3 linked regions of the Bombyx mori genome follow. The protein of the gene in region 3 purifies or fractionates together with the protein of the main gene of each other region. This does not show direct contact. Links are inferred from orthologs where the notes say so. Each region holds a gene or a part of one and is shown on either strand. Other genes may lie near its edges. The genes, in order: Ywhae, ADP-ribosylation factor 6 and kinesin-like protein KIF23.

Region 1 (10,970 bases), on a different chromosome or scaffold from region 3:
AACCTATAAGTTACGTTGGCTTTTATCAACTATAACAATTATCAATCAACAAATCTATGGGTAGCGTATGTAGATGATATGGAGTTATGGAGGGTAGAACCGTCTGTGTGTGAAAAACTGTCCGTTAAAATCTGCTAAATAAGGGTGGCGCTACAATAGCAACCGGGTAAATTTAAAAAAAGGGGCTGAAAGTTATTAGAATAAAATAGAGTAATAAAAAAGGACGAAAAAACTGTCAGCACTACAAAATCACAAAAAGTATATTATTTAAAGCTGATAAGAAAATGCAATCGATGTCTCCACGTTTTATCACAGCAATAATTTTTAGGTTTTATTGACGAAATTAATTTGGATTATGTAAACCTGTAAGGTATTGTATATTACACTGTCATTAATTACTCTAGTAATTCAATCACTTAACAACTGCTCAATTCATATCATTCCCCTGTGCTTATGCTAGCGCCATTCTGGAGGATTTTTGAGCTGTTATTTAGTGCTGAAAGTGGGACACTTTTTCAAGCTTCTCCCATACATAATATTATTTTATGAGACTGTTTCCCGGCTCAGTGAATTTGGACCCCTTTTTATTTTCGGATTTTTTTATTTTTAATTATTTGTCCGTCGTTTGTTCGTTAATGTTCGAGTATAAAAATTGTTTGATCGTCTTTTATTCATTTATAATTAATTAAACAAATGATCACCCTTAAGTGGGCTCCCTTTACTAGATATCTTTATTTTTATTGCTTAGATTAATTCATTTTGATCAATTATCGTTTGTTCAACATTTATTGGTGATTGTTAGATCATAAAAACAATTAAATTCCCAATTATCAATTATTTTATATCTAATAAGCAAGCCATCACCTCACGCCTACATTGCGCATGCGCCGGTTTTGTCAGTCAGCTGGCAATTTACTAGCGTTTTTTTAACAAGTGCGTTTATACTGTCTAATTATTCCTTATGTAGATCTAAAAAATAAATTGAAAACTTCAACAAACTTCAACAAAAAAGTGCCAGTGAAGACGACCAATTAGTCGTTAAAGTACGATTAGCGCGATTTTAATAAATTCAGTTATTTTCAATGGTATTGAATATGAACAAGCACATAGAAATCTCAGTGATTTCAATCGAACATTAACGAACAAACGACGAACAAATAATTAAAAATAAAAAAATCTGAAAATCAAAAAAAGGGGGCTAAATTCATTGAGCCGTTCTATAATGTACCTATTTCACTCAATACTACTCTGAGGGTTTTTCTTTGATCTACGCTTGAGGACTTTTTGGCGGGAACGCGAGGAGTGAAGTTGTGTGATTTGTTTTATTTTGTCTATTTCGTGTTTCTTCGGGTTTAAATGTGTAATAATGGTGGTTTATTAACTGTTTAATATCTGTAATAGTGCACAAATGTGGGAAAATGAAATAAAGCCGCTGGACGTAACTTCTCGGGATCCTCCAAAAAGTCCACTGAAAAAATCTTAGTAAATGACCACCATTTTACTGAGATTGTACTTCATCCCGTATCATCTCATTTAATTTCATCCCAGTTGATTGATGTCTCAAATTAATCATCTTCATTTCATTTCACTCCATAATATCATTTTTCATAAGAATATGAATATAAATTAAGGTAAGACATGACTTAAAGGTCTCAGATACCAGGTCATAAAATCCCTTAAAAAAATCTACGCTTGACATTTGACATTTTGATAGAGTGAGATCACGGAAAACGGAAATTTAAGTATTACCGGCCTATAAAAAGATTAATTTTCTAATTTGGTAATTTAAAAGCTGAGTCTAACAACACGTTAATTAGAGAAAAAAGTTGACCTTATTTAATAGAAGGAACATAAATTACAGGTGGCAACGGACCAGTTGCAATGGAGATCAATTGGAAAGGCCTATGTTTAGCAGTGGACAGCGGCTGAGATGATGAAAAAAAAAGTGTGTGTGTCCGCTCCGACGCACGACTGGAGTTTACTGGATATAAAAAATTAAACGAAACAATACGAGAAATAGTTCTATATTACGACAACACGATACACTACAGATTATTAACAAATTAACGAGACACAAAACAAACGACTAACAAATATATGAAAATACAATAATGAGAGAAACGCGCGATCAGTACGAGGCTTTGTGGCGGACTGCCGGCGCAGCAGCCCGGCGTCACCTGCGATAACGCATTTCGTGTGACATGCGCAATCAGGCGCATAACGCATTTCGTGTGACATGCTAGTACGATTTTGGTCCCCATAATTTTCATACCCCGGGCCTATATATGTAAATCGATTCTAAAGGAGTAAACTCCAAAAATTTTTTTATTTCAAGAGTTATGTATAGCTAGTTCAGTCAATTTTTTTTCGGTAGGCAGCGGTTTGGCGTTGCTGAAGTCCCTGGGCGACAGTAACCACTCATCATAAGGTGGGCCATATGCTCGTCTGCATAATTTTTTTTTTGGAGTTTACTCCTTTAGAATCGATTTACATATATAGGCCCGGGGTATGAAAATTATGGGGACCAAAATCGTACTAGCATGTCACACGAAATGCGTTATGCGCCTGATTGGCTCCTGATTGCGTGATGCGTGCGCGCGCCAATCAGGAGCCAACGCGCGGCCGCGTTATCGCAGGTGACGCCGGGCTGCTGCGCCGGCAGTCCGCCACAAAGCCTCGTATAATAGCCGGCAAACTTCTTGAGCATTTGTTGACGTAGTGGGGGTAAGTTTGCGCATGGTACACTCACGTGCAAAAACATTATTTACTCTGCGTCATAATGCAATTAAATTATTAAAATCAACATATGTATTTATTTATATATTTATTAGAACATCAACAAAAAATATAGGTTAATAATTGTAATAATTTAATCTTGGGGTAAAATAGATATTCCTTCTACTAAGTCAAAACTAGAGCTGTTGCCAGGTCTTCGTTCAGTTGAAGCGAAGCTGGTATTTGTAATTTTTTTTTCGTTATCATAATCTTGACCATTATCATCATCACTGTTTTCATCACTGGAGTCGCCATCATCGTGATAAGTGGACATAGGGCTCATCGGTGTAGTTTACGACTCGGTCGGTTCGATCTTCTTTTTTGTCTATAATTTATTATTTTTTGAAGATATTCGATTCGTAGTAATCGAATGTTACTTTTTTCAATTACCAGCTTCCGATTATTTTCTGTTTTTTTTTTCCATCTGAAGCCTAGCTCTTTCATAATTCGTCGTAAACTTCATTCCGAGCTATTAAAATGTATATCTTCTTTAAAATTTTCGAAGCCTTTCTACGGTACGGAGTTTCGCTGCTTGTTATGTAGTTATTATGATTACATCTTTTTATTACAGATTGAACGAAACTATCCATTCCGGTAACTTTCTTCTTCCCTGATCTTTTCTTACCCGGAGTCCCAAGCACGACGAGCAAGCCAGAGCCTTTAGCTTTCTTTGTTAATAATGCACCTAACAGTACTCACTGATGTTTTTGTTGCTTCCGAAGTCTGTTTTACTTTTTCATAATATCATTCTTCCCCTGTTTTATAATGAAGCAATATACGTCGTACACAATTTTTCTGCCCTTTCTTTTGAATACTACACAAGTTTGTCGCGGCATAGTGTATTTTTTATAAAAAATCAACAAATACTCAACAAATAGCAATGGCAACAAAGTCAACAAGCAATTATAACAAAATTTATTAACGATTAATAACGATAGACTTTTCACTGTACGCAAGCGTACTTTTGGGAGCAAGCGGAACGAAGGCGCGGTGCGGGACGCAAGGTTCGACTGATCTACCAATAACGCGCTCGATACGATTTCCCCTGCCGTCGCGCCTCACCCTCACCACCAAAGTGATCTAAAATTCGGTTCTGCGCAGTCAAGGTCATTTGCTCACGATGTTTGCCGGTTACTATACTGATCGCGCGTTTCTCTCATTATTGTATTTTCATATATTTGTTAGTCGTTTGTTTTGTGTCTCGTTAATTTGTTAATAATCTGTAGTGTATCGTGTTGTCGTAATATAGAACTATTTCTCGTATTGTTTCGTTTAATTTTTTATATCCAGTAAACTCCAGTCGTGCGTCGGAGCGGACACACACACTTTTTTTTTTTAAATTACAGTTTTTATTTGTTTTTTTGCCTGAACTTTCATGAATCTAAGCTTATTAGAATAACTTTATTTTATATTGGTCAAAGTAGAATAGTAGTAATAAAAATGTAATTTAACCTTCCTTAATTTTTTCATTTCAGTTAAATCAGTAGTTAAATTACTTTTTATCTGGCAGCAAATGTAGAACGGAAGCTGCCTAGTCTATGACGTCATGGGCGGAGTTTAGTTGAAGATCGAATTTGGATTCGGTTGGCGGGCGCGGCCATCTTGGTGAATAAGTGACCTGGCGATTCGGATTTAGTTAGTGTAAAATCATTTGTCATCCACAATGTCGGAAAGGGAAGATAATGTGTATAAAGCAAAGTTAGCTGAGCAGGCTGAGCGCTATGACGGTAAGCATATATTTTTACTGTAATGCTATCATTCAGTCGAAGATTCTATCTTATTTTCGCCGACAATTGAAAAACGATTTTAAGATTCTTTAGAGAATATCCTATGTCCAAGACGTAATTATCATTTCATTTATTTCAATTTTCTATTGCAAATAGCCTTGTAGGTCGCAGTTTGTATATTTGATAATAGAAAAACGAGTCAATGGTATTCATTAGGCTTGGCCTGCGATCGATGCGTCATCCACCGGTGGGATGTCTTAGGTTTTTTACATGAACAAAAACGCTGAATCCATTCTCAACCTGAAATAGAACCTTCATGGTTCAGTTACGATAGTTTTTTCAGTTGTAGAATCGCAACTTTATGACTGAAAGTTTCCAATAAAAGTGATTTTCAAGAATTTGTAGTACCGTTGACCGGGTGTCAGAGGATCTGGATCGATGCGCCACTGGTTTTCTTGTATGTCTGCTATTGTGATCCAGACACATTAGAAACATCTTAGTTATGACGTAGTTTTATGGCGCCTTAGATTTCACCTATTGTTCACAATTTGATGCCACGGGAACTGTCTCCTTAGGGTTTTACAACGATTTCGTCTAACTATATCGCTTTCTGTTAAAGTATTATCATAGTTTTCTGTCATCTTCCTCATGAAAAACTCGGGAGTAATAATTGAAAGTCTGTGAAGGTCCACGGTTCAATGACCTTAGTTACCATTATCATTGAAGAATATCATTGTCAATCTTATCAATGCACAACATGGATGAAATATGAATGACTTGTTACACAACTGTTACACTTCATTTTATTGAGTGCATAAAGATTTTTCATCTTCATCTATCTTTCATCTGCAAAAAACATGGGTGGTATTAGATATGACATTCAATTCTAATTTTTAAAAAAGAAGCCCTAGGCCATCCTTATCCATTTCATCATGGGTTCTAAGTATTGAATATTGCTCTACATACATAGTGTGACATAGAGAAAATTGTAACAGGTTGGTCTGCAATCAGTACATTATTGATTATTTTTATGAACCACTAAAAGTATTGTCAGTGGGACTAAAGTTGACCACACCCTTTTATGGCTTGACCTTCAGCCAATATTTTGCAAGTGTCTTTATTTCATATGAAATTTATTGTAATTTAATTTTAAATATAATTGTGCTAATTTGCAAGTGAATGTCAAACTTAAATGGATTTATAAATTAGAAAGTCTCATTATGTTAGTCACACATATTAAAAGTATGACTTCATTGGAACTTGCCGCATGATGCTATGACTAATATTAATAAAATAAACTTTCAAAAAATTTGAAATATCTATGTTGAAAATAATTTTTGTAGTGTACACTGAATGAGGTTGTAAATTAGAGGATGTTGTATCAGTTCGTACTCATCACATGTGACTGCTGACTGTAATCATTGGCTAATATTTAATAGTGCTACATTGGAAGCAGTGTCTAAAAATTGTAGATTGTAGTTAAAACAAGCCTCACCACGATTGGTCCTGCACTATCTGCATCATTTTGGTGAGGCTTGGGGGAGGTCTATGTCCAGCAGTTGGTGTCTGTGGGCTGAAAGATAGAAGATAGACGTGGTTAAACCAATAGTATAATTCTCATATTTATTTTTAATTCAACTTTTATTTATTTATTACTTAGATGGGTGTACAAGCTCACAGCCCACCTGGTGTTAAGTGTTTACTAAAGCCCATAGACATCTACAACGTAAATACCGCCACTCACCTTGAAATATGAGTTCTAAGGTATAGTAGGTAGTAAGGTATAGTTACAACGGCTGCCCCACCCTTCAAACCGAAACGCATGACTGCTTCACGGCATAAATATAGGCAGGGTGGTGGTACCTACCCGTGTAAACTCACAAGAAGTCCTACCACCAGTAAAACATTACAACATTATTTTTAATTAGGAGTTTTTAAAATAATAAATTCTAATAAACTACATGGCTATATACGTTGGTAGAAAGTAGTGCAAGAAAACAATGTGTGTAGTTGTGTTATAAATCAAGTTTTTTCTTGAACACGACAGGATAGGATGGCCTTCTATTTTGAGGTGATTTTTCAGTAGTTTAGTATGTAACTTTCATGTCCTACTGCACTTTTTAGATTTTTTGGGTCGTACATAATTATTGACTCATGCAACAAACACTTGAAGAACACATCACACACATGCTCTGGTTAATAATTGTGTTAACCAACAAACATGCAGAGGAACCAACTATTTCTGGGAGATTAAAATTGCATTGCAACAAATGCAATGCAGATGAACTTTTTTAACATATAACTTTCTGCATGGGTAACAATAAGATAAATAAATTGGAATTTTAAGAAAGTGTTATCCCCTTACACTGTCTTTTCAAATTACCATTACATCACATTCATTAACTTGACTGACAAATTCAATTCAAACCTCTTTAGAAATATTATATTTGTATTAAACAGTGCTTACTGAGCAAATGAGTTGATTTGTCTAATTTATTTCCCATCTTTATGATTGTTCTTAAGTATCCTATATAATTGTAAACAAAACAATGATATGTTTATTTTCCTTAATAATCTAAACACCTTAAAATGTAGAATAGACTCAGTTCCAACTGCATTAGAAGAATTAATGTAATTAAAATGAATATTATACATTCAGAGACATTTAGCATACTTTGATGATGCTTTAGGGAGGAAAAAATCTTATGTTGATTGGTCTGATGGCTCAGACCAAGATGCCTATAGGCTATGTAACGAACACAAAAGAGCTGCCACCTGATGATAAAGGGTTACTGTTGCCAAGGTCCCCATCGGAAGGGTCATAGCTCTTAGCGGCAAAGCCCTTTTGTCCCTTATCAATCCAACTTGTATACCCGCCACAGTATGGACATTGTTTTGAGATGATGAGTTGAAGTTTGAGGAAAATACTAGATTATCAAAAGTCGAAATGTTGAGCAAATATCTGCCCAATCTCCTAAATAACAATAATAAAAAGAAAAATAAATATCTATAAATATGGCGAGCTCACAGCCCACCTGGTGCTAAGTGGTTACTGAAGTCCATAGACATCTACGACGTAAATGCGCCACCCACCTTGAGATGTAAGTTCTAAGGTCTCAAGTATAGTTACAACGGCTGCCCCACCCTTCAAACCGAAATGCATTACTGCTTCACGGCAGAAATAGACAGGGTGATGGTACCTACCCGTGCGGACTCACAAGAGGTCCTATCATCAGTAAAGTACCAGATATGGTAGAAATGTACTAAAACGAATAATATATCCTATTTTTCAGAAATGGTGGAGGCGATGAAGAATGTAGCATCACGCAACGTGTCCGACAATGAGCTGACAGTGGAGGAGAGGAACCTGCTGTCGGTCGCCTACAAGAACGTGATCGGCGCCCGCCGCGCCTCCTGGCGGATCATCTCCTCCATCGAACAGAAGGAAGAAACAAAAGTGAGTCTCGTGTAACACTTACTTGTCTGCTGATGTAACTTGTCATAATCAGAGCTTAGCCCGGATAAATAAATTGGATGATTGTGTTTTAGTATCACCCAAGCATTGAGAGTTTAGAAGAAAAACCTCATATTTTGGTATCCAGACTTGTTTTGTTAATCTAATGCATCTAGAGGGCCTCATAACTTTTATCATGAGATTGATTCATGATAAAAGTTTACATATGTTCTGCGTGTATGTTTTTAGTGTTTCATGATACAGAGAACTCCTGAATTTTACCTGTCTTAGCTATAGATTCATTATAAATTGAGAGAAATCTGAGTACAGCAATGTTGATCATTTAGTGGTAGCCCCTTAACCAAATGTCATTGTTGAACATGTTTACATTATATAATTGAATGTTGGAAAATGAGAGATCGCTTCCCCAATACATATGTAGTATCAAACTACTTTTTGATTGATTCAACTGTTTATGTTTGGAGAAAACGGTGCGCGTGCAACTTGGTGCACGTGAAAGAAGTGAGACTTCTTTTGCGGTGTTTAGTATTTCGGTTTTCTTCATTTTTCATCGTTAAATGAAATTTCTCTTGTAATAGGTAATGCTGTGTATATCTTTTCACCATTTATATATATTATATATAGAAAAATATTACTATTTTTTCAAATCCTTCTTTAAAAATAAGATAGTATTTACAAGAGCAGTGAGAAACTAATAACAAGCCATCTAGTGGCGGACGCCCGTAAACAAAATGTGTATAAGGGAAACGAGCCGACTCGTTCCCTTCCTCTCCACGGTCGAGCTGTTCGCGAGACGCTGTCTTGTTTCTCACTCTCGCTCTTCCTAAATTATATGTTTTCTCTCTAGTCGCAACGAATCTGTCGCGAGTTTAATTTTATTCTCAACGCGCCTAAAGAAGTTTCACTTAAAAAACATTTTTAAGTAAAATGACTAATAATGGGAAATGATAAAATTAATAGCTTATCTCAGCAGCTAATTTGCTTTACTCTGTATTCATTGATCTGTGTGTTATTGTAGCTAGCAATGAGTTGATCATGCTTTCTTCTTTAATACTAGGCAAAAGTACAGAATTTGTTATTTAAACGCTGCTCCATTGCTGCGAGAAAGTAACACACTAAAAAACACGTCGCATTTAAATGTAGTGAAGAAATAAAATAAGTGTTGTTTTTTTCCGATTTGTAATGTACCTTTCGACAAACATTTTTTTTAGAATTAATACTTTTGTTAAATTAGCCTTTTCACAATTTGCGGTGAATCAATTTAAACCTGACATCGCCAGCCGACGTCTGTACCGCGTCTGTACGCGCCGCTTCAGTTATTGATCCGCAGCGCCGTCGGGGCTCCTGGTTGTTTCCAAGCTAATCGAGAGTTAGCCAACTAAATGTTAACTTCATAAACGCAATTTGAATCTTATCGACAAGTGTAATGCAAGTCGCTGGCTTGTTTTTTTGTGAATTTCTATTACATATTTAAATATATCCGACCGTCTGACCTTATAAAATTATCGAACCCGCACCGAGCTCAGGCACTCTTATTATCTAACGACAGCGAGCTTTGTAATTTGTTCTTAACGACGAAAAGATTAGTTAAATCATTAATTTATTTCTTTAACAAAATTCCGCAGTTAACATAACTTCAAAAATGTTACAAATTACTTCGATATTCTAAAAAATAAGCTTATTTATGGAATTAAGGAATAGGAATTAGTACGTACCCAAAAACTGACAACAAATAATTGTAGGAATAATTACATTAAGCATCTAAATCACACGCAAAGCATTCCCCGGTGATCGATATCAGTCGCTCGGCTTACTTTGTGTCCATGAATAGTCGCAACTAAAGTTACAATTGCATTGCCAGGACACACGAATAGTGAATCATTTTGTCTGATTCATGCGTGAATCTAGAGTTTGGGCTGAATCGTAATCCAAAAATATTACTCTTTATGGTTTTGTTCTATTTAACTTACGTCATATTCCAAGTTAGACAATATAATATTGAGGTAAAAGTTCCATGGAAGTATTAATAAAGGTGCCGTTCGAATTCCTGTGGCGACATGACAACATAAGAATAAATGCGCATCTTGAAGCGAATAAGCAAAATTATCTCATTACATTAGAATTAATAAAAAAACCCATAAATATTATTGTGATCATTGTTAAGAAATCGCCACGTTCAAATCGACAGAAACCGTTAGAAACATAACATTTTTTATCACTAACTGCGACAGACAAAAAACTGGAATTGGAGAGTTTGTAACTCGGCGTGTAATGAGGAAAGTGAGTCATAGTCAGTTGTTTCATCAGCGGTACGCCCAGTACTCATAGGAGTCGCACGGACTGAATCATCTAATTCCAAATGTTAAAATACCCTTACACACTTAATATTATCATTAAGTAATAATTGTTGAAAAATGTGGTCATATAAGCGTTTATAAATTTTATGACGATGTCAGAATAGGGAAACTGAAATGTGGGTTAGACTTAAATAGGTATCTTTTTTAAAGTAAATTCAATAGCCGGCTTAAAAAACTTACAATGGACCTTTCAACCTTTCAACTTTCAACAGCGTTGTTGACGAATCGCCTAAAAAAGTGTCAAGGACGCACTTTGTCTGACTACTTAGTTTTATGTACAGCCGCTCTATTTCTTATTTTATTAAAAAAATATGTCTTTAAGTACATATAAATATATACATACTATAATAGCTAAATTTTTGGAGCCCTGTTGACAGTTTCCATCGAAATAGTTTTGATCGTAGAGAGATTTCTGTAAACTTTTGTGATGATAATTTAAAAACATCGTCAAATATAAAACCGCAGTCTATCAAAGTGTACGTACGATGACAGTACCTGTCACGCAAAGGATTTTCATAATTTAATATCTTTATTAAGTAAAATTGACTGAACTTTGTTTTGATAAATCTCGCATCGAAATCTAGAAGAAATAAATTTAATGACGACAAAAAGATCATCGGGCTAGATAGATATTTG
Region 2 (10,762 bases), on a different chromosome or scaffold from region 3:
AAATATTAAGTAATTCATTCAATACTGTTACACACCATTGCAGCTTTAACACAATCCCTGACCAGACTCCGACCGTGCAGTCCTTGGTCATCTTTAGGACCAAACGAAGGTAATGGAAGACACTTATATATCTCCAGGGCTGCCATAGGATGATTTTGAAAGACTAGTAATGTACATACACTCTGCATGTACGGTGATATTGATGGTGTCTGTAATGTCCCTTCTGGAAGATATTTGAGGACCTACAAGGAAAATTTTATTTTACGGAGGAAAGCCTAAATATGTAGATCACAGCCCACCTAGAGTTAAATGGCTACTGCAGCCGATCAACATCACCACCTTGATACTATTCCATTGTCTCACCCTTCAAAACATCTTGCATTCCAAATGAGTGCTTTACAGCAGAAATATGCAGGCCAAAACTACTTATTTGACCATACTAATAATATGCCCATTAGAAAACACGAAGTTACAACAAAAATAATAAAGTTTACTATATGTGAAACATTGTGATATGTGAAACAGCCATTGCCTATTACTGAGCTAATAGGCAATGGTGTTCATTTCAAGTTATTTCAGACAGTATAGTCATTGTTCATTTGTGTGTTTATTAGATAAAATATTTTGAAGATACATTAAGATTTATGATGTAATTAACACTGAATATCTAAGGACATCTGTTATAAGACATTTTGTAAACTGACATTACTGGAAACAAAAATATTATACCTGAGGTATTGTTTTATAGCTTCCAACAACAGCTAGGGTCTTCACAATCTCCATAATATGCCTTTCCTCAAACTGAAACCCATTTTTTATTGTCTGATCCATTTCCTTCAGGAGCGGACCATCCTCTTTATTCCAGGCTAATGCACGAGCAACAGCAGTGTATGTTTCGATTGATTGTTTCAGTTTAACGGATTTCATCATTGTCAATACTTCTTGAATGTTTTGAAGATTACTGTAAATTATATTTCTTTATTATGGGAAAATAAAAATGTATTATATTTTTATTCAAAGTGCTTAACTGTAGAAGCTGTTAATATTACACAATATAATTTAGATTTAAACCTTATGTCTCAAGTTAAGTTCCAGGACACTAGTTGTGATTTCTATGAGCTCTACCAATTCTTAAAATTAGATAGGCTCCACGCTTGTCTGCCTATCTAGACCAGTAAAACAATTTTCATAATAGGCTAGTCACAATATATACATTTAAATAATGTTTAATATACATTTAAAACAATAGTTTCAATTTAAGTAGAAAAGACAAAACAGTTTAATTAAGTAAAGAAGAAGTCTTCTTTGTCAATCAATTTATTTTTAAAAAAATATTATTTGGTTTTTTCACTTTTAAACAATGCAAAAAAGAAAATTTGAAAGTAAAATGACACATAATAAATATAAATCTTGATCATTTTTACCACTGGACAAAAACACTAGTAATAATAATTTGATACCCGGGCCCTGAATTCATTAGATAAAGCTTTCAATTTAATTGTACAAACAAAGCTTGAAAGATTATCACCTCAGTGAACTAAAAATACATCACAGGGAGACCAAGACAGACTCTGTATTCTTGTTAAGCAGTATGTTCACATTTAATTGTAATAGTTATATTTTTTTTATTGTATGTTATGTTACTGTTATTCAAACATAATATATGTACTATGTTCTATTATTTTATTATGAACTTTTATTATGAACTAATACATGATGGGTAACATATCATTTCACTTTTTGTCTGTCTTTATACAATCCGCACTTAGCAATATTTTTATTAAAAGGACAAGTACCCTCTCTAATACGCTACAGTTTGTTTTATCATGCTAGAAGCTGCAAAAAAATTTTCAATTTCAACATCGGTACATTAGAACCAAGTGTGCCACTAGCCTACAGACAAAATCAGTATACTTCAAACCAAACTTACCCTGCTTTTCCTTGGCCTATAATCAGTGAATTGAATATATTCTCGGTAGCAGGCAAGTTCTGTGCTTTCATATTAGACAATACTTCGGTTGCTTGATTTAGATCACCCGCCTGGAATTATTTAATTTATTTATAAAACAAATTCAGCATTTATGTATCATATTATTAAGGCACCAAGAAATAAGTAATCAACGATAAATACATCACACAAAATTGTCTAGGTTGAAACTAGGATTCCCTGCATTAAGAGAGCCAGAATCCCCTATACATAGTTATGTGCATTTAAAAATATAGATATGCTAGTAAATCTGCTCACACAAAGTTAGATCAACAGTACAAGAACACATAAATATTGATCTTTATCAAAATACATATACTAATTGTAGCATAAATGGTTTGCTTTCAATACAGCACTATCTAACCCAACCCAGACACTGACTGAACTATCATGTCAATGAACTAACTTATACTGCTTTCTGTTAGAAACATAAAGCTCACAAATAATAATAATAATAATAATAAATTTATAATAAAATAATAAAAATCCCTGCTAATCGATCCAAAGAGAATTTATGACTTTTATCAAATTAAAATTATTACCTCCCCTAGGGCTCTTATGATCAACTCATAAGTAGTGATGTTAGGTTTTACAGGCAGCATTTTGTTGATAAATGTAGTCACTACGATTGTTCTATTATTTGCTATATAAGCTTGCAACAACTCATTGTAATGATCCACTTGAAATTTCGTATGGGGCCTGTGTAGTTCCAATAAGAAAAAATAATTAAATTCAGGTTTTATATGGCAATAATCAGAAAATTTCATTTGAAGAAGAGGTCAATAATTTGCCTCTATACAATAACAGCATTCTATAAAAATCATTCTATTTACTACTACAAATTAATCAATTTGAGAATTATTATTTTAAAATGAGTCAATTGTTTTAAAACATTGTTTGAATTTTAATGTTAACATACAGGTAATATCATAGGCTCACTTTAAAGTATTCCAAACTAATTCAACTAAAGCCATTCGAGCTGAAGGAGTTTCGTCAGGTAGTAATTCCGTGCAGCACCTAAGCAGTAGCAAACCCTGTTTTTTGGTTGAAAAATTCATTTCTTTTACTCTGTTTATAACTCTCATTAAATCATTCTTGTATACTCTATTTTTCTGATGTATATCCGTGGATAATCCAGCTATTAATTTCTCTAAAAGTTCTTCAGATGACATTCTATCAGTATTCTTCAGAAATTCAGTAGAGACTGTTTGTGAAATATTTCCGCGACCGCTTGATAGGTTCACAGAACATTTATTGATTGCTGCATTTGAGATGCGCCTATAAAGATTAAGCAATTAGTTCTCGTTGCGTAGTTTACTTGGTTTTAATTTGTAATTTTAGAAATTAAATTCTAACCTTTGTGCATGGGATCGACACGGACATCCAATATTTGCCCGATTCGTTTGAATATTTTTAAAGAACTTAGCTCTATTGGAGTTCATAATCCTAATTCCTTGACGAGTCCACATCATATTATTCTTGTTCTAAGTACTGCAACTGAATTTTATCCCAGAATTTACAAATTTACAAAATTTAGAAAACTTATGGTACCTGCACTGGTAGAATTTTTATTCAACGATTGAAAATTTAGTTGTATAAAATGTCACAATAAATCAAATGTCAAATTTTTGTAGTATTTCTAATTTTCTAAATGAAAAGGCAAAGATATCACACCATACTGCCGGATAACTCACCTACAAGCTCGGCGAATTTAGAATAACCTCTCGAGGTTACTAGAATAGGTAAAAATTTTTTTGATTAATTCATGAAATAATTAAAAGAAGTGAGATGAGATGATATGTATGGGATGAAATATAATCTCAGTAAAATGGTGGTTATTTACTGAGACTTTTTCAGTGGACTTTTTGAAGGATCCCGAAAAGCTATGAATAGTGGCTTTGTTTCATTTTCCCACAATTTTGCACTTTCACAGAATATAGCATAAACGCAGTCTGGATGAAAACAAAAAGAAGTGAAAATAAATTGAATAGAATGAGAAGATATTTGTTTATATTGTCTAAAGAGATTGTCTCTCTTTATTTCCCCCCTATATTTAATAAATTATTTTTTTTAGGATACTGTAAAAACTGTAAACTCACTCACTAATTCTGTTTAAGACGAAATTACATTTTGGGGTCGACGTGGGTTCCAAAATGTTCATATAACTATCCGATGCTCCCACAGTTTAAATGAGAGTATAAATAATTTCGTCTTAACCTCAATTTCAAAAAAAAATTCATCGAATGCATTTCATTTTTCCACAATTATTGTTCTTTTTCGTAAGAACTAAATGGTTAGATAAGAAGTCTCTTTCTGTCTTTGTTTTTTTTTGTCAAGAATCTTTTTGCCAACACGAATTCGCTCAGATATACATAGTTTGTACATAATTTTCCTATTACTCTCTACTATGTCTTCTCTTTTGTGTGTACATAAATAAATAAATAAAGTAAATAAAAATAGTTGAAAAATAACAAAAGTAATCGCAAATTAATTTAGATTATGGTATGTAGTGGAGTTTTAATTAATGGTTACAAGACATGTATACTTTATTTTGCCCCGGTGCTCTTTCAATTGATACCAAAATCTATTTTGAGGGTAGCCCTTCTCAAACTCAATCTAGCAACTCTGAAGAAATGTCAACGTTCAGCATTGTCAAATTTCAATTCTAGTGTACGAATCGTGGATGTGGTTTGTGCTGTGTTTTTTGTTTTGACTGTTTTGAGTGGATGTTAGACATTGTAATTTGCGATTGTCATGTGGTAAGTTTGTCTCCTATTTGTACAACTTTAAAATAAATACATATTTTTCGTAAGAGATATGCGTGTTTGGTTAGTATTTGCACAATTGTCATCAAGTTGCCGTTATTTGACGGGTAGCGCCATCGCCCAAGCTTGGCAAGTCGGCGATCGGCTCCACCTCAACGAAACGTGACGATTAGAAGTCGATTCTAATTTTTAATTTAATTATTACATGTTACATACGCTCAAATACAATGATCCAGTTTGTGATCACCTGATGACCTAACCCTTAAAGAATTTAGCCCTGCGGTAACCAGTTTACAAAGTAAAGTTGTACTTTACGTTGTCGACTTCCCGCCTATGAATCACACCGTTGGTGTAATTGAAAAATTTGAATGAGCTTAAAATATAAAAAAAATTATTACATAGGTACCCTAAATTTCTAGGTACCTAATATAAAATATCAATATGATTACCCCCGAATTAACGGACTACCTACATTGTTGAATATAAAATCACTGATTAAATATAGGTGGTCAAAGTTGTAGAAAATGAATAAGAGTCCTATGTACATACAAATACTTATGTTACTCAAGAAACCTATTTACTACTAGCGACCCGCCCTCGCTTCGCTTCGGAAACATTAAATTTTATTATTGATAGCTGAGTCCCGCGATGTTACCCGCGGTTATTGTCGTACCGCGGGTGACGCCGCGGGTCAAAGCTAGTCTAAAAAAAGTAGCCTAAGTTACTCCTTATATCATCAGCTACCTGTCAGTGAAAGTCCCGTCAAAATCAATCCAGCCGTTCCAGAGATTAGCCAGAACAAACCAACAGACAGACAGACAAAAATTGTAACAAATGCTATTTTGGTATATGTACCGTATATATATATTCATATGCATGTAGTAAAAAGCGGTTATTTCAATATTACAAACAGACACTCCAATTGATTAATTACATAAAATCTGTCTGTTGAAAGATCAAGCACTTTGTAAGCAACATGAAATTATAAACTTAAATGAAAGTTTGCCTCCCAAAATTTATTCAAAAAGTATATTTATTTCATAGTTCCTGAATTCTAATCTTACTCAAACAGTTACAATAAATTTAAGTCTTCAATTAATATAGACTTTCTATATCATGATTGTTTATTTATTGTTAACACAATAATATAGAATATAGTATTTTTTAGGTTCTCATTAAAATAGTTACGTAATCATTAAAAGAAAATGTTGAACTTTATCATGTTCTTTGTGATTTCACAGGTTATGCCCTTCATTATATATATTGTAAAATTTAATTAAAACAACCCTTTAAATATATATAAAATAAAATGTTATGAAAGTTTGCTATTAAAACACCATTAAAGCCAAAACAAGAAAACATTTTACATTTCATGCTCACATTTATTGAGTTCAATTCTTCAATATCAATAGTTGAGGTCAATGAAGTGTGAATTGACACCAATTAGAGAGCCAAGTTCACATTACTATTGAATAGAAGACATCAGAATTTTCTGAAGCTTTAATTTTTGTATTTTATTTTATGTTTGCGGGTTACAGATTATGAAACAACAATAATATTACACCTATTAGTATGTTAATACAGGATAAATTTAAATACTAACTTTAAAAAAAACAAGAATACTACAGTTGTGCACATTATAATATAATTTAATCTGTTGATTTATATAAAACTGCAATCTTAATAATAAGTAATGTATGTATTATTTTCTCCTATTTGACACTGTAACTTGGATGCTACATTTCCGTTCATTATGTTTTAGCTGTGCTTTGATGTTTTAATTGAGCGAGCACTTTTGCACTTACTGAAATTAAATAAAGAACGGTTAGCAGACATTCACTCAATCTGTGTGAATTAGTTATGGCTACACCGTCAATGTTTATCCCTCTAAATGAAAGTTCTAGCACTAAACAAGTAATAAATAAGCTTGAGATAAGGAAGTTATTCTGACAAGGAAACAAAAGACAAAATACTCATTTGTTTCACACTAATTCATATTATAGGCTAAAATAGATATTATTCAATTATCTTTGATCTTATTTTTATGGTTGGATGTCAGTATTTGAAATGTTTTAGTGCAACAAACGCTGCTAAGTGTTCATAATAGTAAAAAGTATATTATGTACTCAAGTATTTCATCATACATTTCCCATACATCATATAATTAAAAAAAAGCTAGGATGGGTTTGAAATCTTTTTGGATCATATTTTTATTTAAATCAATATTATGTTCGAAAACTACTGCATTCTGTCTATGAATGTATTATAATAAGTACGTGCGAGCACGCAGAAAACATTGTTTGTCATGCGCGACGGTATGAACGCGACGGCGTATGGCAACCGATTTGCTAATTTTACAAGTTACAAGTTAAAAGATTTATTAAAATTAATTTTGCCTCAGTTCTGATGACTGTCAACAAAGAACGAACTTGTTTATAGTTTTGAGGTTATAATGTACATTTTTCGCGGTTATTACTCAAGGTTAAACGAGTTTCGTTTACATTTGTCATTTCACTGTAAATAATGCAAGGGATTTCAAAAGTTTGGCTAATGGAAACACGTGCTTATATAATGTAAAAACTTTCTATCATTTACCAAATTAAATAGTATCATCCAAATAATATGGATGATCTTTAATATGTATTCGAAAAAAAAAAGGTATTTTCACAAATCATTGAAAAATGTTGATGAAGTTTTATTTTCATTACCCATACCTGCATTCAATACGTATTAAACTTACAAATCGTATACAAATCGATGACGTGTTTTTTTTGTTTAATTCATCGCTTATAACTTGGTCAGTTCGGTTGCGGTGGGCGTACGTCACGGGCGGAAACCTCGCGTGCTCTCGCGCAATCTGACTACATTCACATTTCAACGTGCGATTTGGTTAGGGGACCACCGAAACATTTTTTTACGAAGACCATGTACAGCTCTGTACGTTTATAGTGCAAAGTGGGCTCACAAAAAAAAAAAAAGAATAAAATTATACGTAATTGTGATAGTGTAACAAAAATTTCCAGTTCCGTAAAGCAAGGCCCATGTGAATCAATGAAAATATGTCATTAAACAGTGAGGTGTTCTCAAAGTGGGTGGTAGGTACACCCATTGTTAATTCACGATGTAAGTTCATTCGCAATACAGGAAGCTGTTTATTCTAAGAACACACCTTATTTTATTGAAGTTGAAAACGACACTGAGGATAACATGCCGCCGGGCTGCTCATTATTTTCATAATACTTATATACAAAGAATAAATAAATGCTTGCCTTGAAGGATCTTTTTTATGATGGAGCTTATTATATTCTTCTCGTAAAAGGAAATGATTTTATTTCGTTAAGATTTAATAATACGTTTTCGAGTGAAATTTCTTTGAAGATCTAAAATACATTCGCTGGTATAGAATTTACGTTATTATCGTGTAATTGTATATTCAAAAGGTCGAGTTGTTCGATAAATAACCGTAGGTACTGAAGCAAAAAGGTTAAAGTTGAATTTTTACTACATTTCATTGTATTGTTATAGTTAGATTATTCGCAATTAGATTGTTGCGAAAACAACCGGTATAGTAATTCTAAAAACTTTTTTTCAAATTTTCGTTCGACAATCGATTTTTTTTCCTAAAGAAGCTAATTTGTTAAATATCAGTGTGCCAAACGTCATATGTATGAAACCATAATATTAATCAAATGGCTTGATAATCAAAGTGTCCGTGAATTTCTTTGAAAAATATCGAAAGGTAACGTAATAGGCGCCAAGAGTCATTGACACAATAGATCGTGACTCGAACCAGTATATTCAGAATATTCGTTACCTTATTTCCATAAAAACAAATTGACTGCGGGTAATATTTAATACCAATTGTACCAGAATATACAGTTTAACATTTCTGTAACTAACTTAGGTAAGATCTAAATCTTATTAGGATTAGTAGAAGTAGGCTTATTACGATTTTGCAAACAATAAATAACAAATAAAATATCAAAATAGTAGGTAAAAATACATTTGCATTGACCCTACTGTATTTTGAATAGCTTACAAAAACCATGATCTCACCTTAGGCGCTTTGAGTTCGTAATAAGTTCTCGGAGATTAACTCTCGTTTAAATGACTACCGGTCTTAATAGACGTCATAATGACAAACATCTTCAAGATACTGGTTACTACGCAATTTTATAATTACGTTAACTTATTTTATTATATTTTCACGTTAATCCTTCACTGTGAAAGTCGTGTGCCTAAAAGCATTAGCGCGTTTTACATGCCAGCGATTCTAACGCTGCCGTTTCACTAGATACATAGTAGCATTGATCATAGTAGATACATTGTGGGGCTTACTCTTAGACGCGTGATATTTAAGCCCGGCTAGCTCAGTCGGTAGAGCATGAGACTCTTAATCTCAGGGTCGTGGGTTCGAGCCCCACGTTGGGCGCATCCTTTTTCCCGTCTGCCTACAAAGGCAATAAAAAAAAAAAAAAAAAAAAAGAAATTGGGTACCACTAGTTAGGCACCAGTTTTTTTTTTAAATCTATATTTCAACTTTATTTAAAAAAAGAAAAATCCCTACGCCCAAAAAGAAGCGATCCCGCTGAATATATGCATTGAAATCTAGATTGAATTACAGAAAAAATATGTCAAATTAATGTTTAAATGCGTTATTTTCCGTTCTTCTTCTCCATCGCTCCCTCATTGCTGAGGATCGTGACTCCGTTTTAGCTTGTCTACTGTCAGCCTCCATCGGTTCCGGTCAGTTGCCTGGTGTAGTGCAGCGCTAAGTGGTCCGCTGGTTTGCTCGGAGATCTGGTCGGAACAACGTTTGGGGCTCCGGCCTCTAGGACGTTTTCCTTCTACTTTCCCAGTGACCATCAGACGTATTTTTCGTTACTTTGTTAGATTTTAGTAAATCTATCGTTGATTGTGAAAATTTGCTCTTACTTTTTCGGTTTCTATTTTAGTTTTAGGATGTTGAACACGTCGCATAGATTAGATTACGCGTAACCTCGGCAGTCATTTAGTTTTTGTTATCAAGGCCTCATGTGGCCTTTATTGCCTGTTTTTACTAATTACATAGTTATTCAGACGCGTCTATGTACTAGAAACTTCTTTTGCAGAAACTGCATAATATACTCGTAATTGACGGAAGATCCGTGATCCTGTGCGTGCTATATATTAATATTATAACGCATACGTGTAAATCAATCGATCGAAAATGTTAGACATTTTGATGGTTTCGTAATCACTAGGCAAATCCTTTAAATTATTTAATAAAATTTTAAAGGTATTCTGAGGTGATCCACGACAGTGTACATATTTGTCCAAAATATGCAAAGAAATGATACTCTACATTCTATTAATTGTTAGTGTACCTTTTCGCGTCCACTAACGTTCCCAAAAAAAAAAGAAATGGTGAATACACCAATAAAGACAAGATATAGATTTTTCTATAGAAAAGTTGCCTAAAATTCAGTACATATGCGATACCTTAAAACAATTCGGATTGTATTGTCTTGTAACCGTTTTTTGTTTGGCCCTTAAACTACAAGGTTTTGAAGTTTGTAAAATGGAAATCGGTCTGTTCACAAGATAATTATTATTATTATTATAATAATATAATATAATGTTGTTGATCCTAGTTAAATGTGAGAATACAATGTTAACTTTAACGAATTAACTCATTGTGTGAAGCGAACTCTCTTGAACTTTGACTTTTGAAAACGTATTTATCTTTTAAATAAATTGGATGGATATTTAGTTTATTAGTAATTTTAAATAACTCTACTTTTTCCTTAAATTGAATTAAGTAGGCTAATTAATACATGATTAGTCATCTTTCAATATTTTGTCAATGTCTCTAATCTATACTCTATACTATAATATATAATAATATTATAAAGAGGAAAGATTTGTTTGTTTGTTTGTTTCGAATAGGCTCCGAAACTACTGGACCGATTTGAAAAATTCTTTTTCCATTAGAAGCCGACATTGTCCCTGATGAACATAGACTACTTTT
Region 3 (10,718 bases):
TGTCCAGTTCCTTATAGATAATACATAAAAAAAAAGCCGTATTGATTTATAATATAATCTTGAAAACTCTCACCTTTCGTAATTGCTCATTAAATGTATGTCGCAAACTACGTTTTAAATATGATTTTTGCGTTTTTGTCTGATATTTCGTAGAGATAACAAATATAACACGATTCTACAACAATTTTTCACCAAATCTGTCTCCTGAGTAGACCCGTCAAACAATTAGCAATTTCCGAACGACATTCAAATCTTCAGCCTAATATAAGTGAATTCAAAAAAAAAACTATTGGCGCGTAAAGCTCTAACCTCTAACGTCAAACACTTGAACCAACCAATGAAATTTTCCAAAACAAATTCGTGTCACACAAACACAACTGTCCGATGGAATTAATAAAGAAATTGATTCGCTGAATCGAGACTTCCTTCAACTGGTTAATTGATTCGCTGTGAACGGCGGGCAATCTAGTCGTCTTGTCTTTATATTAACGTTGCCACTATAATTGTAGCTACTTTTATGTTTGAATCTCACTATAAACTTAATTTTAATTTGATTATTTCTGACGCTTTGAATACTTTACAGGTTTCATAATCACGGAAAAGTACAGTAAAAGTACTTTTAATGATGTCTATGACGAAAGTACTAGGTGTATTAACAAATAAGAATTTTATTAGACCTAATTCTACATTCATTCATTCTACCTTTAATATACAGAGTATATTATTATGGTTTGCCTGATCATTATATTATATGACTATAAAAATCATCCCTTCATGGTTTCCCGTCCCATTTATATTACTGCTTCTATAACAATGCATGAAAAATCAAGGTTTTTTTATTAAACTTGAAACTAGGATTTTTAAACGGAGTCGAACTTAAAAAATAAACGGAAGCTATTAATAATCTGTACACATTAAGCTTCCGGTTAATTATGATGACTCTTCCGGTCCTTATCATAATGTAGCTAATATGACCGTTATCTATTCATTAATGTAGGTACATTAGTTGTTGCAAGTTAGGGAGGCAGTGAGATTGGAATCCGTAGTTTGATAGAAAGAATGAGTTAGCCAAAAAAAACATTATAATGAACCATAGTCGATATTCAATTAAAATTTAAATACAAAATTAAAATTTCTTTATATTTTTCATTTCTTAAGCCGCAAAGAAAACGAGAGACTGTATTTCAGGCTAAATTTTTTCTCCATCCAAAATCTGACAGTTTTTCTCATGATTAAAACTAGCTTTACTGTGCAGGGAAAAAGACGAAATCTATCATCATTTTGTTCGGTTTTCGGAGACTGAGACTTGTCAATTGGTTATGGAGAATCTTCATCTTAATGGAAAAATATATAATAATATAATCAGACCAAGTCAATTATGCAGTTGTTCCACTATTGAAAGATAACGGAGGCAAAGAGCCACAGACAATGTTAACATAAAAAAAATCCACTTCAATAATGTTGGAACATTTATTACACGTATAACTTTCTTTTCCTACCTAAGCTGAGAGCCTTGAGAGGCTATGTCAGCGTAACCCTAACTTTTGTAGGTGAGCTCACGGGGCTCAAACCTGACGTCGTTGCTAACACGAACCCTAGCAAGAGCCGTGCTTCGCAGAATCTACCACCGGATCGGAAACGCGACCCACTGAGAAGATCCGGCGAGAAACTCAGTGGGCTGTGTCTGGTAGTTAATTTACTCGTCGAGCCCTTCGTCGCAAGCGACGGGTTCGACGAGAACGGTGACCGGGACGTATAACAAAAAACCCCCGAAAACCTTAAAATTAATATAAATACAGAGCCCTTGCTAAATTCAATAACGAGTAAACTAAAAAACTGCAGATATTTGGCGCTAAGGTTCTTTATTTATCTACAATCGTATGTACTTATACTGTTTTGGAAATATTAATGTTCACAGTCGTGTCTTAATGAAATAATACTTTGAGTAGGCGGCACGGCACGAAAACCCTCTTGTCGTGGCCGCCGGAAATTACATACCCGATCCTGTACACCGAATGGTAAACAGTTGACGTCGCCCAAAACACGTCATTACGGATCTTCCCGATCCATTACCAGTGCTTTTAGGTACCTACCTCAAGCACCGATCACCGTCCTCGCGGAACCCGTCTTGCGACGAAGGGCTCGACGAGTCAATTAAACTTAATCCGGGAGTGTTGCTAACACTGGCCCTAGCAAGAGCAGTGCTTCGCAGAATCTACCACCGGATCGGAATCGCGACCCACTGAGAAGATCCGGCGAGAAACTCAGTGGACTGTGTCTATGGGTTAGTTCGCTCATCGAAGTCTTCGTCGTGATCGACGAGGACGGTGACCAGTGCTTGAGGGTCCTAAAAGCACCGACAGTGAATCCGGGGGATCCGACAAGACATATTTCGGACGACGGCGGCTTTGCGTTGCCCCGAAATTTTATGCAGATTAATTTTGATCAGAAATTTTATGCAAATTAATTTTACAAAACTAGTGACAAAAAAATATATAGTACATTTTAAAAGAACACACTTCCCTGTTATGCAATAAAAGGCAAATATACAAAAACAAACGCATTTATTTCTATTTTAATATATAAATTGATATTAACTAGCAGATCTAAGTATATGAGTAGTTTAAGTACTGTTGCTATTAACATAACGAGATGAATGTACGCCATTTAATACATTGGGCGAACCGGTCCTAAAGTTACGAACATCCTGGTAATACAAAAAAACAGGTCACCAAGACAGTATGAAAAACGCCCACAAAAACCCAAACCCAAACCAGAAAGGTCTATTTTATAACGAAATTTGATTTTTCGGATTGCCTTCGTGTCAAAAGCATCAGCTGACGGGCCAGGTTAATGACCTCGAGGGGACGGGCGTGGGACAACTACCTTCGAATTATACCGACTTATGAAATATTAATTAACCGTAACATTGTATTTCAATATGCAATTTCGAAAAGGGCACATGTCCCATATTTTGTGAAATACGTTTTTTCATAAACATGTAGTTTTGAGGCTTACCTACACCCATTTTATAATAATTCCAGTAATTTTCAATTGCTAATTAACACTAAAATATATCTCAAAAGTTAATACTTTAAATTTTACACTGCTTTAGAAAATAATAATTTTTTTTTCATTTCCTGAACATTTTACATTTTCAGATATGTGCCCTTTTCGAAATTTCATAATTATTTATATTTCAGTGTTTACCATTTGTATAGCAAATAAAGTTTTAAGTAAGGTTAATGATTTTGTAATAATATTCAAAGTTTTATTGGCAAAATATGTCTTAGTGACATCTCGATCTGTCTTGGTTCAGAATCCTGGGATTAAGTGAAAGACCTACCATCAGTGCCAACACGACGGTAAACAGCTTTAATGTTACTAAAACCCTAACATCAAGGAATGTCATAAGCTATCAAATAATTATGTTAGTAAGTATTACAATATAATGGTACATTTTATGAGCAAATATACAATCACAGAATGTATTTTAAGTATATATGTTCAAAAATAACATTGAGAATGTCTTGGAAAAGAAAAAAATTCACTGAATCTGTCACTGGCCACTTTTAAGTCAGTTGAAAATAGAAAGCATAAAAAAGATAATTTGAAAGTCACAAGTTCTAGATTCTACTAGAATTACAATCATGATAATAATCAGGAATGTAGGTAGTTTAACTTTTTTACATATTCAATGATTTTGAATGAAAATTCCTACCAAACCTCAATTTAATAATTATATTAAGAAATCGAACAAGTTCTATGCACCACAAAAACATATTTATATTCTTCCACTTATTTCACTTTACCTGATCACGTCCAAGATCATTCGTCATCAACTCTCTGCTTCTTACTGGTGTTTGATGGTGTTTGTGGTGGTGAAGAAGCGGTGTCTCTCCTCTTGCCGGAATGTCTAGCACAGCTATTGCTGGACAATCTCTGCGATTCCCTTGTCGGAGAAAACTGTTTTAGCATTTCAACATCATTGAATATAACTTGAGCTCCTCCCCCGCAGGTGGGTACAACATCACCTTTGTACAGTTTCGTCTCCAATTCACCATCAGTATCTTGCTCTTGCGATATAAGACAGTATTTTGACGTTTTCGAATTGGCAATGTCTTTGACCGTTGTCAGTTTATTAACGATTTTGCTATTCGTCATGCTTGGCTTCATGACTGTGCCCATTGGGACTAGCTTGTTAGGTGCGTGTTCCACCCAGCCTCGACCATCAGCTGACAATGACCGTCTATGGCGTGGATTCGCTACAGCGACCCCTCTTCTTGATGTTGGTGTGTCGCGTGATTGTGGAGCTGAACTGAATGGGGTCAAGAGGTGTGCGGGTAGAGCTCTCGGTGTGGAGCCCGGTGTAAAATGACTGGTCTGAGCACCAATTTCAGTTGTGGAGCGTGGATAATCAAAGTTGTCTCCTCTGTCTGCCATATCAACATTTAACGCTTCTTTGACTTTACGTAAACAGTTTTCTTTTTCCTCAACTGCATTTCTTAATCTTTCCTTTTCTGTGTTTATCTCTTTTGCCTTCTCCTGTTCGGCGGCAATCTTGTGGTTGTATTTTCTTTCAAGGATCTTTTTCTGCTTTTCTTTCTCAAACTTATTCTGGTTGAGCAAATATTCTTTTTCCTGTAGATCTCTCTTTAAAGATGATGTGTATTCAGTCATTTCTGCCAATTTTCTTTGGTGCGTGAGAGATGCATTTTCTGTGGCTGTCAAGCGTTCTTCTAAAGCTCGAATCCTGCGTTCAGAGGCTGCCAGCTGTCCCCTCAATGATGAGTTTTCACTTCTCACTTCTAATGATTCTTTTTCAAGATCCAACAGGGCTGACCTCAGTCTTTCATCCTTCACCGCCTTACTTCTCTTAAGTGTTTCTCTGCGACTGATTCTCATTTCTAAATGTGCCATCAGTTCCTTAATTATATGGGCAGCTTGAGAGCTATTCAGTTCCAAGCTTGGGAAGTCTGGCCCGAGGCTGTATACCAAACCTAGATCTAAGTCCAAATCTTTAGCCTCCGGTCTCGCCATATTGTCACGAGCTGTTGTGAAGAGTCTATTAGCCTTTCTGCGGCCAGACATCAAACCTATTGTTGTTGCGACATCTATTACTTGGGGTTTAGCAACTTCAACTTCTGCTGCCATCTCAGCAAATCTCATCACTTGGAGGGTTTCATCATAATCTTCAGCTCTTGGATTTGCACAGACTATCATCCTTACTTGTCCTTCACCTTCAAAGAAATTTTTGAAGAGATGAGTAATTTTAGACTCTCTATAGGGCACCATGTTATTAGCACTGTTAATTTGATTTTCTCTCAACGCTTCTAAGCAGGTTCTAAGAGTCATCAATGACTTATTAATATTCCCGGCTTCTCTTAGTCTTTGTCCTGTGTTTTTGGTTCGGTTAGTTCTTTCGCTACCAGCTAAATCAACAAGACTCAGTTGACTAATATTCAAGAACTTTTTATTTTGTATCACAGCTTCTCCCATCTCGTCAACTGGTGCCTGCACTAATCGTATTGTGAACACTGAGTGACTTCGGCTTGATTCTGCGTTCAGAGTCGTGTGAGCCATTCGTTTCCGTTTCAAACCTAAATAGAAAGCATCAAAGGCATCCTCAGCTGACTTAATCTCGATTTCAGTAACCCCGTGGACATACATATTATGGGCTGCATCTTCTCTTATTATCTTCACTGGAAGGTTCCTACTAATCGGAGGACCATCTTCTAACAAGTCAAAAACACTGTTATTGTAGATTTCTACATATGTAACGAACACAGCGTACTGATTGTCTTCATTGATACCTTCTACTTTAGTTATATCCGTGGATGCCATAGCTAAATCCGGATTCGAATTATTTTTCTTCCCAGTTTTAAATTTGTGAAGTTCCTGTTGCCTCTCTAGCATGGCCTCCGCTTCGTTTTGAATATCGAACATGTTCATTTTGTCCGGTTTGAACACATATTTGTGAGCTTGGAAATCGTTAATAGTTTTGAAAATAATATTCAAACATCGTGGTAATATCCCGCAGTTCTGGGGCTCGCCGGTCATCGTGAACGTTTTCCCGCTGCCCGTGACCCCGTAGGTGAATAACAAGCCGTTTTTACCTTTAATCAAGCCTTCGACTAACGGCAGTGAGACTTTATCGAAAACTTCTTGCTGTGACGCTTCCGGCGGGAAAATCTCTTTGAATGTGTATTTCATGGTTTTGCTGCCTTCATTTCTGTAGCTTAACGCCGTTGCTGGCGGCGTTAGGAGTAATGTGGTTGGTGATATAATCTTCATACACGACACATCACTTTCTCTTTGCATGGGGCGAAGTCTACAGTAGACTTGTACAGGATCGCGGTCCTGAGCGAGATTTTGTTTACTACGCGCCGGCGTTCGCATCTCGTTTAATCTCTGTTTCGATTTAACGGACTTCATTTTTGTTATATTTTATCGTCACATATAATATTTAAATATTTCGGTTGAATATCGCTTCAACGACTTTCAATAAATCAAAGCAACGGTCTCTGAACGGCCGTTCATGAAATATCAATATTAACTGACTAATTTAAAATCAACTTATTTGCTGTCACTTTTTAATAATGGCAGTAAAAATTATACGAAAGGATACCAAGGTCGTTTAGCGGAAATACCATTTGAGTTCGGTCGGATTATATCTACCCGTTTCTTTTTAAAGTTTTGACATTTTTGTTACTAATGATACCAGCTAATAGATTGATTTTTCCTGAAGCAACTTAGATAAATGGAAAAGTGTTGGACGGTTAAATTTGAGGGGTTTGGGTTTTGTAGGTGAGGGGCTATTTAAAAACACTGCTTCATGGTTAAATATATTACAAACATTTTGTACAGTATTACCCCATTGCAATATGTATTTTATTTTTATAAAGCCCTAAGATGTTGCACTGTCCGTGTCTAGACATAAGTCTTCGTCATGACTGAAGAGAAGACAATCATCTGTTTTAAATATTTAAATAAGCATTCCAACATTCGAAAACTGTTACTTCACATGTGACAAGTGTTGTCTGCCATTACTTACATATTCAAACTCGAACAAAAAGTCTGCAGTTGAATTTTTCTCTAAGGATGTGAACATGTGAACCAGTTTCACTAGGCCTGGTCTGCTAGATTTATTTGAACTAAAACGTCGTTTTATTTTGCATAGACGATTGAATGAGCTTAGAGCCCAGCTAGTAAAGATTTACTGGAGGGAAACCATAAATATCAAAATGTAAATATGGCCACTGACCTTGAAATGTTCGATCTAGGTCTCGATTGCGATATAAAGCAGCTAACCAATAAAACCGAAACGCATTACTTCTACGTGTCAGAAATATGCTGGTTGTTGGGTGTAACCACTCTGGGTTACGAGAGATCCTAATACCAGAAATTCTGTAAATTATTACTGTTGCAGGCTTAATTTTTATTGCATAATGTTTTCCTTCAACGTGAAATCCATTCGTAGGCATGAGCTGAGTACGTATTTCGCTTAAAAAATCGGTACCCGTCTCTAAGATTTGTACACTGACATAGTAAGATAGCTCGATGTGAATACATTGAGTACTTTATCCTTTACACTATGTCAATATTAAAAGCTAAGTATATACACGCCTGTGTGTTTGCCGCTAACACATTATTTTTAATAACCGTATTGCTACTCTATCTATCTGCAGTTGTATTGCTTCACTACTTTCCCACATTTAACGGAACACTCACCCTTATTCTGTTTTGCAGTTTTTTTTTTACTTTATTTTGAGAATTCCCAAATTTCAGGGACTTTTCATATTATTCTTGAGTGGTCACCATGATTGGCAGTTCTGCCAACATAATTATAGGAATAAAAATATTTTCGTTCTACGTAATATTAAATCAATCCGTTCATAAGCATTGCTATTATAGAATTATTGCCTACAACACTTACATCATTATTTTTTTAACAATATGTTGGAACTTAAAAAAACTTTCTTTAAGTGTACTTCTAAATCAATTCCAAATTAATTAATAAAAAACTGCCCAGTTTGAAGTTTATTATAACAGAGAATGGAACGTTTCCGCTGTCAAAGTTCGTAAACAAAACAAATTATGAAAATGTATGTAAACAAACAATGCATCGTTTAGAAATGAAAACTGTTGCTCACGAAATGGATGAAATTCATTTCAGGGTGAGAAATACGATGGTCGGAGGGCGGACGTCTGGTCGTGCGGTGTCATCTTGTACGCACTTCTCGTCGGTGCGCTGCCTTTTGACGATGATAATTTACGTCAATTACTTGAAAAGGTAAAGGGTTCTCGGTATGAATCGGCGAACGATTCCACGTAATTAAAGAGTACTTACACCGGTAACACGAATCCAGTTAAAGAATTGCAGATCTGTTATAGCATGTTAGGTAAAGGTGAAAATAATTTTCCAAGGAAATGCAAAATATAACAAAGTTAACATCATTAGTACAAAATCAATAGAATAACAAGTTTAAATTTAATCAACTGACCCGAAGCATTGGAATTGAAATTTTATATGAAAAAAAAGAATAATTTTCTTAACTAACAAATAAATAGTTATGTATGAAAATCTATGGTATAATTTAATATACATCCTTATTTGATTCAAGGTGAAACGAGGAGTGTTTCACGTGCCGCACTTTGTACCACCTGACTGCCAACAACTACTGCGTGGAATGATAGAAGTGAATCCGGAGAAGAGAATGACTGTAAGTTGTTTTTTTATGCTTTATCTCATTTTACAATTGAGAACTATCTAAATAGTTTAGTGTTACATGGTCACAGATGACCAAGGTGCTATTCATTAACGTTATTAATATTATGCTAACCACCAGTTGATTTATATAAAAATATTATATATGGCTATGTTGTTATGAGGATATCATTGACATATTCAACTTAGTGGCTGTCATACCAAAGTAATTCAATCTTCAACCCTATGTATTAACTTTGTGTAGTGCATTAGTAGAGAATACATGTTCTCCTTTTAATAAAAAATAGTGCTAAGTGTGTGTTCAGGCCAGTGCCTTCAATTATTTTAGAGCAATGTCAAAGATGCTAGCCTTCTAGGCCGCTAAGTATCACAGCTTAATAAGTTAATGTATTTCACTATCATTCGTTCATTCACTACCCGCTCTTCAAGCATGCTGTACATCTCCATTAAAATATATCAGAATAATATCAAGTGCTGGAGTTTTATTATCACAAGAAACTCCCTTATGTACCACAAGCCGGTACAGTGTGTGTTGTATAAAAAAGACAATGAACCGACACAGTGGTGACCAAACATGTGAAGTTCATAATTCATAACAACACAACAATTCACAACAAGTTCATAATTCACTAAATAAAGTACAGTAAAAGCTCTTTATTCGCAGGGTAAATAAAAAAATAATAAAAAAATGGTTATATATTCTGTAAATATGCTGCGAATACTGAAACCGTGAATATGGAAAAGCACGTTGGATACCTACATATTGGAATCATTATTACCAATACGCATGTACCAATGTACTGATTTGATTCGCGAATGCAGAAATCTTTAGCCGCGAACACAGGAATCCGCGAATAGTGAAAACCCTGAATGAAGGAAGCGTGAATAAGGAGCTCTTACTGTACTAAAACATTGACACTGGCATTCACATTATGATATCGATCATTACTGGTAGCCGTACAACATTAAGCTGTAAACTCGTTAAACCTGAAGACATACATTATGATATGGGTGGATGATAGGACTGAAATTGTCTTCACAACATTTCCAGTTGGCAGAGATAACGAGACATCCATGGGTAACTGCCGGCGGACGAGGAGAACTCGAACAAGAGTTGCCAATGATGGAAGTTGTTCAAACTAGAGTACTGCCTTCAGCTGATGCTGTTGATCCTGATGTTTTACAGGTAACATAGTTCATCCGCATTACTTAGATATGACTTTATTAATCAGCACAGAACTGATGGTAGGACCTCTTGTGAGTACGCATGGGTAGGTACTACCACATCGCCCATTTCTACCGTGAAGCAGTAATGCGTTTCGGTTTGAAGGGAGGGGCAACCGTTGTAACTATACTGAGATATTAGAACTTACATCTCAAGGTGGGTGGCGCACGTTGTAGATGTATATGGGCTCCAGCAACCACTTAACACCAGGTGCGCTGTGAGCTCGTCCACCCATCTAAGCAATAAAAAAAACCAAATCGCTTTTCGGCCCTCGATATGAGCATTAAAATCATCAATAAACACCAAGCTTCGCTACGCTATAAACTAGTAGTAAATGTAAACTAGTGGTTCCGCAGTAGTCGAAATTCGACTTTAATCAATTTAAATTTTATGTTTAAATATTTTTATGGTTCTATTGTCAAATACTAAACATTAAACTTATATAATATTATATAATCACCGATTTCGCCAAAACTATACTATACATAAATAATAATAAAGACAAACAATATTCATCTATTCTCAATTTGACCACATACTTAAAACATTAACAAAAGTTTGACAATTGACAATAAACAAAGATTAAATTTATATATGTATATGTGTTGTGTCAAATACATGGTAGTGTGTGTAATGTTTTCTTTATTAATTTAATGTATCTTTTATGCATTATTTTAGAAAAATATTAGCATTGTGCACTTCTTCTCTATATTCTCTATAAGTGTGGAAAATTTCATACTCCTCCATCCGCGCAATTTTCGTAAA

The links.
Region 1: the proteins of kinesin-like protein KIF23 (region 3) and Ywhae purify together in Homo sapiens (affinity purification with mass spectrometry; 4 studies listed by BioGRID and IntAct, with this or other methods). This does not show direct contact. The link is inferred for Bombyx mori from reciprocal best matches to the Homo sapiens genes KIF23 and YWHAE.
Region 2: the proteins of kinesin-like protein KIF23 (region 3) and ADP-ribosylation factor 6 purify together in Homo sapiens (affinity purification with western blotting; 3 studies listed by BioGRID and IntAct, with this or other methods). This does not show direct contact. The link is inferred for Bombyx mori from reciprocal best matches to the Homo sapiens genes KIF23 and ARF6.

Annotation. Positions count from the first base shown.
Region 1 is NC_085122.1:14,128,308-14,139,277, forward strand, and holds the start of Ywhae (14-3-3 epsilon protein), read left to right. Parts: upstream 1-4,327; 5' UTR 4,328-4,438; coding exon 4,439-4,502; intron 4,503-7,795; coding exon 7,796-7,959; intron 7,960-10,970. UniProt on the Homo sapiens protein: Adapter protein implicated in the regulation of a large spectrum of both general and specialized signaling pathways. Binds to a large number of partners, usually by recognition of a phosphoserine or phosphothreonine motif.
Region 2 is NC_085111.1:14,748,911-14,759,672, reverse strand, and holds the start of ADP-ribosylation factor 6, read left to right. Parts: upstream 1-4,588; 5' UTR 4,589-4,746; intron 4,747-7,548; exon of another isoform or gene 7,549-7,875; intron 7,876-9,111; exon of another isoform or gene 9,112-9,184; intron 9,185-10,762. Other genes in the region: leucine-rich PPR motif-containing protein, mitochondrial, read right to left, coding at 36-242, 730-961, 1,931-2,040, 2,530-2,686, 2,927-3,265, 3,344-3,459. UniProt on the Homo sapiens protein: GTP-binding protein involved in protein trafficking that regulates endocytic recycling and cytoskeleton remodeling. GTP-bound form plays an important role in the transport of multiple palmitoylated proteins form the Golgi to the plasma membrane.
Region 3 is NC_085129.1:18,294,895-18,305,612, forward strand, and holds kinesin-like protein KIF23, read right to left. Parts: upstream 6,709-10,718; 5' UTR 6,436-6,708; coding exon 3,829-6,435; 3' UTR 2,548-3,828; downstream 1-2,547. Other genes in the region: serine/threonine-protein kinase BRSK2, read left to right, coding at 8,177-8,293, 8,625-8,723, 9,780-9,914.